Linked DNA regions of Cricetulus griseus. The protein of the gene in region 2 interacts with the protein of the main gene of each other region in a biochemical or structural test. Links are inferred from orthologs where the notes say so. Each region holds a gene or a part of one and is shown on either strand. Other genes may lie near its edges.

Region 1 (4,399 bases), on a different chromosome or scaffold from region 2:
CCTTGTTTCAACAGAGGAGGAATAAGACTTAAAGGAAGAAGGACCCTCCAAAGGCAGGATTTTGAGCGGCAACAAAATGCAGGCCCAAGTAGGAACATGATGGGGTAAGGGGAGCAACAGACAGCACACTGTCAGATGAAGATTCTAGCTCTCTCTGCCACTCACCTGCCAGTCACCTCATGGCACTGAACCTCTTAGCCCTCACATCTGTCAAGTGACAAGACTGGGCAGATTCTTTTAAGACCCCCCCTCCCCCGAGTGACAACTCAATCTTGGTCTGAGCATTGTGTGAAGAAAGACTCTAGACACCTGGACCTACCACCTGTCTCTGTCTGATTTTGTTCTCTCCCAACTCCCTTCTTTTCAAACATCGCCATTGCCATCTAACTGGTGTCTTCTCAAGGACATAGCTGTCACTAGAAGGGAAAAGTCAGATTTTATAATGAAAAAATGGAGTGTTGTTGTGATCAGAAATGTGGGTTTGATGCTCTGGACTGTAAAATGAAGAAAGGGAGGAATTATGTAATTCAGTGTTATTTTATGGAGGAAAAAGTTGGGGCCCAAAGAGGCAAAGATCACAAAACGACCCAGTGGCAGCCAGAATCAGGACCCAGCCTCCAGCTCTCCCTGAGGCAGTCACTCCACGAATTTCTTTTCATTCAGATTCTTGGAGCGCTTTGCTGACAAACAGTGGACAAGGCTTGGGTCACAATGACCGGAGTGCCTGGCTTGTTTGCTAAGCGGCTCCACCTTCTGCAACATGGCGTCTCCAGGGGGCAATGATGTGCAGTAGGAGCTTAGAAGCCCAAAGTTTGCCCTGACCAACTGGACACCCTGGTTTTAAGCTCTATGGAAAGAACTGCCCTCAACTCTCTGCAGCCTGAGGCTCCGGCTGTGAGAAAGGGTTTTAAAGCACTGGCTACTTTCTCTGACATCCTTCCCCACCCCCTAGCCGACAGCGCCAAGACACACACACACCCCAACTTTGTCTGTCCTGTTCCCTGACTGTTTGCTGTTGCTTTGGAGCCTCATAAATAGGGCATTGAAAACACTTCCTGCGGCTGAAAGAAGCCCTGAGTAGCTTGTCTCATTCCCAGTATGCAGCTCAGCGAGGGGTCCGTCCTCCTCTGTCACTGTCTCTTTTGCCTGTTGTAATTCTGTCTGCCTCTGACTTGGCTTGTGTCTTCCTGTGTCTATGCCTCCCCCTCACTTGCTCCTCTTGCAGGAGCCTCAGTCCCTCATCTTTGAGCCTTCTTGTGTCTGCGCTGGTCTTTGCTTTTCTCTCTCTGCCCTCAACACTGTGTCTTCCATCTCCGTTCAGGCTGCTGCCTCTTTCGGAATCTGCCCGCTTCCCTCTGCATTACTGGGTCTGTCGGTCTGGTCAAGAGGGCCTTGGGTCCTGCGGCTGTGGGTGGCCTGCTGCCAAAGGAGGGAGGAGCCCATGAAGGGCGGGATTGGCCCTAAAGCCACCTCATAAAGACTGGACTGCACTAGGCTTTCTGGAGGAGTCCTGGAGGGGCTGTTTGTTACGACAGGCAGACCCCACGAGCTCAGCTGGGGCTCTGCAGTGTCATGCCCTGGAGCTCCCTAGATGCGCTGAGCTGGGCGCTGGTGCTGCGGCTGCTGGCATTGCTGCGGCCCCCGGGGCTGGGTGAGGCGTGCACCTGCGCTCCTGCGCACCCCCAGCAGCACGTCTGCCACTCAGCTCTAGGTGAGTCCGTGGCTCTTGAAGACCACAACAGGGGTTGCCTGTGGGAAAACTGGTGTTGGGCAAAGCTGTAGACCTGGAATCTGAGGGAAGGGGTGGAGCTCCGACCCTGGACGGGTGCCTCCTGCTGCAGCTGATAGGTCAGACATGCTGTTGCTTTGTTGACCTTGGAAGTACAAAGTCTGATTTGTAGGAGAATAAATATTCTATCATAGATCTCCAGAGTAGTCCCTGTCAGCTCAGCTTGATGGACCCTAGCTGTCACTAGAGCTATCTAATAAGTTTCAGAACTCCTAACGGGTGGGGCATTTGCACTGTAACACCTGCCTCCTTGCCTGCAGTTGAAGTTGCCACCTCAGGACTTAACACCTTTTGTCCTTTCTCTCCCACTACGTGGATACCCCTCTTTCACACTTTTGACTTCCTGGCAAACTACTATTCACCCTTCATTTTCTAAAGGCTTTTTGATTCCTTGCTGCCCCCTTTCTAGTGGATGCTGATTTTTTTTTTATAAAGTGTTCTCCATCTTCTGCAGGACGATGACGCTGTCAATGAGCCTAATGCCTAGTGCAAGGTCAGACAGAGAGCAAGAACTTTTTAAACAAAATTTCCAGGGCCGGGACTGTAGCTCAGTGACAGAGTGTTTGACTCTCCTGTGTGAGGCTTTAGGTTCACCATTCAATACAGGAAAACAAACAAACAAACAAACAAAAACAGTTCTTGATTAGATAGCAAGAGATGAACTTCCTCAGTGGGGAGTGAGGATATTTACAAATTCCATAAACATTATCTACTATCAGTTGTAGGTGTGTTATGAGGTTCTAAGATGTATCAATAGACAGGTCTGGTACCAATTGCCTTGAAAGGACTCCTATTTTCTGCTCGATACACCCAGGGCTATGGAGAACTTGAGCTCTAGAAACTGACAGGTTAAAAGGCAGACAAAACACAGTTTAAGGACCTAATAACCCCAAAGGATTTGAAGCCTGGCAACCACTGCAGAATAAATTCCAAGCCCCTTCTCTCATATACATCATACTGCTAAGAACCCAAAAACATGTGAGCCAGTCTCTGGATACTCAGAGGACTCCAGGCCATCCAGACCTGAGACTGCACACTCCCACAGTGCTGAAGTCCCCCTCTCCCCCACACTTTTTTCCCTGTGCAGTAATCCGGGCCAAAATCTCCAGTGAGAAGGTAGTTCCTGCCAGTGAAGACCCTACTGACACTCAAAAAATGATCCGGTATGAAATCAAACAGATAAAGGTACATGGGGCAGGACTGGGGCTGAGCCATGATGGTCTGATGGAGGGGTGGGGCTTGTGCTATGGGAGGGATGAACCTGGTGAGAGTCAGGTAACAGACTCAGGTCTCCTGAGGAAGGTGATGAAGGGGAACTATATGAACTAGTATGGGCAGGAACCATAGGAACCAAGTGACTGTTCAGGGTGGGGACTCACTGTCTAGCCTGTCCTATAGCTCTTTGTCCGTGGGACCTCCCCACCTCCCTGGAATAAATCAAGGTTTAGACTTATTTAAAAATAAACAAACACACCAGTGAGGTCATCTGTGCACCCAACTTGAATTTGACTTTTGCTTAACGTTTGGAAAGAAATGAGCATCTTTTAACCTGCTGCCCTGCCCTGATGCACTGCTGCTCTTCTGTAACTGTCTTTCAGATGTTTAAAGGGTTCGAGAAGGCCAAGGATGTTCAGTATGTCTACACACCATTTGACTCATCTCTCTGTGGTGTGAAACTAGAAACCAACAGCCAGAAGCAATATCTTTTAACTGGTAAGTTAAGGGGCTAAGCAGAGTTGTGATAGTGACCATGGCCTTTTAGTTGGGGGGGAGCAATGAAACTCCCTTTCAACACAGGAGTCCCCATTACAGCAATCTTGGCCACTGCTCCACTATTTTAAGGAAAGATTGCTCTACCAATCTAAGATAGCTAGTTCCATTTTGAAAGCATTAACTGGTAAGAGACTTTTGGCATCTTGAGCCCAAATACGTCTCCTGAAGGTGTTTCCTGTGTATCTATTTCTGCCCTGTGTACAAGCTTGACTCTACAATTCTACCTCAGCGAACCAGCCTCCTCCATACTGAACTAGTTGAGACAGAACAGTAAACGAGCCATCCATCCAGTATACCTAAGAATATTTTGGGGGAATAAATAGACACAGTACTAAAGTATTATGGAATTCTGAGAAAGGGGTGCTGGTGTGGTTGTGAACAGGTAGGGAAGCTTCACTGTTTGAGTAAGCTCTACGCTGGCCTACAAGATGGAAAACATCAGTCAAGGATCAAGGAAAACAAAAGTCCCTGACCACAGGGAGAACAGGAAGGAGCTCCACTCTATCCAGGGAGCCAGTGGATGACTATCTACTATATACTGCCAGGCCTGGGCAGTAAAGTGGAGATTCAGGAATAGGTCATAGTCTCAAAGACTTCATAGTCTAGACACGGCTCTTGAAGAGTGAGTGACAGGAACTAGAGGACACAATGAAAGGGGCTCCTCAGCTCTAAGGATGCAGGATTGTGCTGCCCTGGGCAGCCTCTACAGAGACAGGACATGTCACTGTATCTTCCAGTTCCTTCATAAGCAGACTAGTCTCTTTACATCTCTTGATACTCCACCCCTTTGCTGAGCACCCACTTTGTGGGTCTCACCCTCACTGAGGCACTGAGTAT
Region 2 (3,645 bases):
AAACGAAACTAGAACAGAGGCTCATTCTGTCAGGCTCTAGACCCGTCCTGATTATTTGAATGTCTTTGGGGTACCTGAAACCTGAAGCCCTGGGCCTCTGGGCGCTGAAAGATAGGCCCAAAGCACCCTGCTCAGTTCTGACAACAGTAAGGTCACTACTGACTGTTTTCTGTTGCCTGCCTGGAAAGGTGGCTGGAGTGGAAGGCAAGAATGGAAAGAGCATGGCAGATACCCACCAAGGATCAGTGGCTAGTAATAGGGTCTCACTTTGGAAACTGTGTAAATGTTTGCCTGAATTGGCTGGTCCTAAGCAAGAAACCTGTCTTCACTGTGGCTGAGCAGAGTCTCTGCTCAGATGGGGAGGTCTGAGAGCACAATGGGGTATCTTGTTGTAGTGGTTTGAAAGACAATGGGCCCCAAAGGGAGTAGCACTATTAGGTGAGGTCTTGATGGAGGAAGTATGTCACTGTGGGGGCAGGCTTTGAGGTCTCTTTTGCTCAAGCTTTCCTCAGTGTGACTGTTAGTGGACTTCAGTGTGACTGTAGGTCAACTTCCTGTTGCCTGCAAGATGTAGCACTCTCGGCTGCAGCACGACATCTGCCTGCACGCTGCTGTGCTCCCCTTCATGATGATAATAGACTGAACCTCTGAAAGTGTAAGCAAGCCATGCCAGATGGTTTCTTTGTAAGAGTTGCCGTGGGCATGGTGTCTCTTCACAGCAATAAAAACCCTAAGACACTTGTCTAGGGACAATGTCTGATCTGAAAATAGTCTGACCCTCAGAATAGTCTAGCTCAGGTGTGGAGGAGTGTCTGGTGTCTCTACCAAAAGCCAGGGCTTCATACCTTGGTCAGGACAGAAGCCCCACTTCCGGTCATCATCATAGGTAGCTGTGGTCGCACACCATATTTTCCCATCATTGCGACCGGCACTGGTGCAGCTCTCATATTTGTTGCCCAGGAAAGTGAAGGGGAAGACACATGGAGCACCTTCTGAATTTCCTCCCACAGTGGACATAGCTGTTGGGTAAGGAACACAGGTCAAGGGGCAGCAGAGGATCTAAGGCCACTACCAGGAAACAAAGACAAGATATTGACATTAACATACACTCACTGGAAAGGGATGCTGTGTGTGGACAAGTGGGTATTGAATGGCAAAATGCTTGCCTCTGAGGGTCAGAGAGAGGCAGTGATACCCACCGGTCTCTGGGCAGAATCCATATTTCTTATCTCGGTCATAGTCCTCAGTGGTGCCACACCAGCGGTAGCCGTCTGTGCGGCCCTCGGTGGTACAGCTGTTGTAGGAAGTGCCCTGGAAACGGAACGGGAACTTGCAGGGCTGTCCATCTGCATTGCCTCCCATGGTAAATAAGGCTGGGGAAAGAAAGAGAGGAAGAAGATGCCACTGAGAGAGATGTCTGCCTGGGCAGAGCTGGCTAGTCAACCACTTGCTGGCTCATGCAAACCAAATGGTTGCTGTGTTAAAAATATTAATTACAAACAATCTCTAGGGAATAGAGAGATGGCTCTGCAGTTAAAAGCAACAGCTGCTCTTCCAGAGAATTCAAGTTTGGTTTCCAGCACCCAGGTCAGACAGTTCACAACCATTTGTAACTACAACTCTGGGGAATTTGATGCCTCTGACCTCGGAGGGTACCTGCACTCATGTGTACATACTCACATAAAGACCCACACACCTACACATAATTTAAAATGATAACATAAATCTAAAAGGCCACTTTCCCCTCATTATAGTGAAGATCTGCTCCTCCGAGAAAACTCCAGTCCTTTCTGGACAGTTTTACTGCTGCTGTGGCCCCTGCAGAATGGAGAGGAGAAGGAGGCAGGGACAGCTGTTGTCTAAGCCTCCCGTTCTGAGAACTGCAGGATAGGGCCATGACTGGAGAATAGAGAGCGGTAGAATCAAGGTCAGCCTGTCTGTCTTGGGCTCTTCCAAGCTTTCTGTCCCTCTATCCACTCCAGAGTTACAAAATGGTGTGGATCTGGAATTGCCAACTAGCAAAACCACAAGTACGTAACAAGGACCATCTGTGCACAGCAGTGCCAGAGGTGACATCACCAGGCCTGTTAACTCTACCACGGGCTGAATGGAGCCCAACCCCTGGCATCCCAATGCAGAACTTGGGGGTGGGGGTCTCTATCTTCAGTTCAACCCTAAACAAGAAACCTTTCCTAATGAAGCAGGAGGTGTGAGACCTAGGGAAGAGGTGAAACTGAGTCGAGACTCTGGATGATTTAGAGTGGGGAACAGCTAAGTGACCACTCGGATCCCACCAGCTGTGTTTCTGCCACCCAGAAGCCCATCTCCTCTGGGACCCACACGCCTCCCAAAGAGAAGGTTGGAGAGCAGACACTGAGTCAGCCATCAGGAGGGCCTGAGTAATCAGAATTTGCTGTTCCAAACCCAAACACGTGTGCACTGTGCGTACTTGCACCTGGCTAAGGACCAAAGAAATGGCCAGTGTCTGACACAGAGGGAACCTTTCCAAGCTCGTGAAGGTGGAGGCTGTTTCTGTATCTATCCATGAAGCCTGTTCTATCAGAAGGGCTGAATCAGAGGTTTCTGTCTTTCCTCGTGTCCTACTGGGAAATGCAAGACACAGACTTTTCTTTTAAAATCCCTGGTTTGCTAATAGTCAATTGCTTGAGTTTTAGTACATAGTTTAGCTTCAGTGGTAAAAGCATAAACAGGCTGTGGGTAGAGATCAGTGGTGGAGGAGAATGTGTCTAGCATGTGTGAGGCCATGGGTTGGATGTCTCAAAGAAAGAAGGAAAAGGAGAAATGTAAACAGGAAGACAACTAGAAACTCTTTGTTTCTTCCCTTCTGTCTGGATGATTGGTGCCAGTGTTGTTTTGCAATAGGGACAGGGAGAGTTGCAAACATACATACACAATTATATACAACTACAGTCCTTCCTCAACCCAAACAAACTGCCCTTAATTAGTCCATACCCCAGAGAGATTTTATGGGCTGGGGAATAAGCTAATACTTAGAAGTATGGCTGTATTTTCTCCCATTTCTCCAACATTTACTGGGCTTCTGATCTCTGGAACCATCAAGTGAGATGGCCTGACCAAATATGAAGTCGTGCATACTGTTAAAACGATTTATGATTAGAAAGCATATCCAGGATGTTTTCAAAGTTCCCCTTTCCGCACTTTTACCTCAAGTGATGGTAGATGGAGAAAAAACGTTTTTGAGCTTGAATGAGCACGGGGTGAACTCGCGAGCGCGCGCGCGCACGCACACACACACACACACACACACACACACACACACACACACACACACTGAGTAGAGCTAGGTGTCTTTGCCATGACACAAAGACAGAAATCAGAATTAGATGTCATAGCTGTGACCTCTTACACTGACTCTCAGTACAGTAGGACCAGTGTGGGAGAGAGGGCTAATACGCTCAGATTACAGACCCTACTTCAATCAAGGCTTGGACTGAGCCTTGTTCTCCTCCCACAGCTAAGCCTTCCATCCATCTCTGTGCCTCAACTCTCTTATCCTCCTGTTTTCCTGTCCTCCTGTTCTTGAGCCCTGGGTCTTGTTTGGAGTGCATAGTGGCCCTAGAAACAATCTAAGGTTATTCTCATGTGTGTTAGAAAAAAAATAAT

What was found. The genes of interacting proteins can lie anywhere in the genome.
Region 1: the proteins of Mmp2 (region 2) and Timp4 form a complex in vitro, tested with the Homo sapiens proteins (2 studies listed by BioGRID). The link is inferred for Cricetulus griseus from reciprocal best matches to the Homo sapiens genes MMP2 and TIMP4.

What each region holds. Positions count from the first base shown.
Region 1 is NC_048601.1:29,591,967-29,596,365, forward strand, and holds the start of Timp4 (metalloproteinase inhibitor 4), read left to right. Parts: upstream 1-1,572; coding exon 1,573-1,711; intron 1,712-2,876; coding exon 2,877-2,974; intron 2,975-3,387; coding exon 3,388-3,502; intron 3,503-4,399. UniProt on the Homo sapiens protein: Complexes with metalloproteinases (such as collagenases) and irreversibly inactivates them by binding to their catalytic zinc cofactor. Known to act on MMP-1, MMP-2, MMP-3, MMP-7 and MMP-9.
Region 2 is NC_048596.1:168,546,760-168,550,404, reverse strand, and holds part of Mmp2 (72 kDa type IV collagenase), read right to left. Parts: intron 1,374-3,645; coding exon 1,200-1,373; intron 1,020-1,199; coding exon 846-1,019; intron 1-845.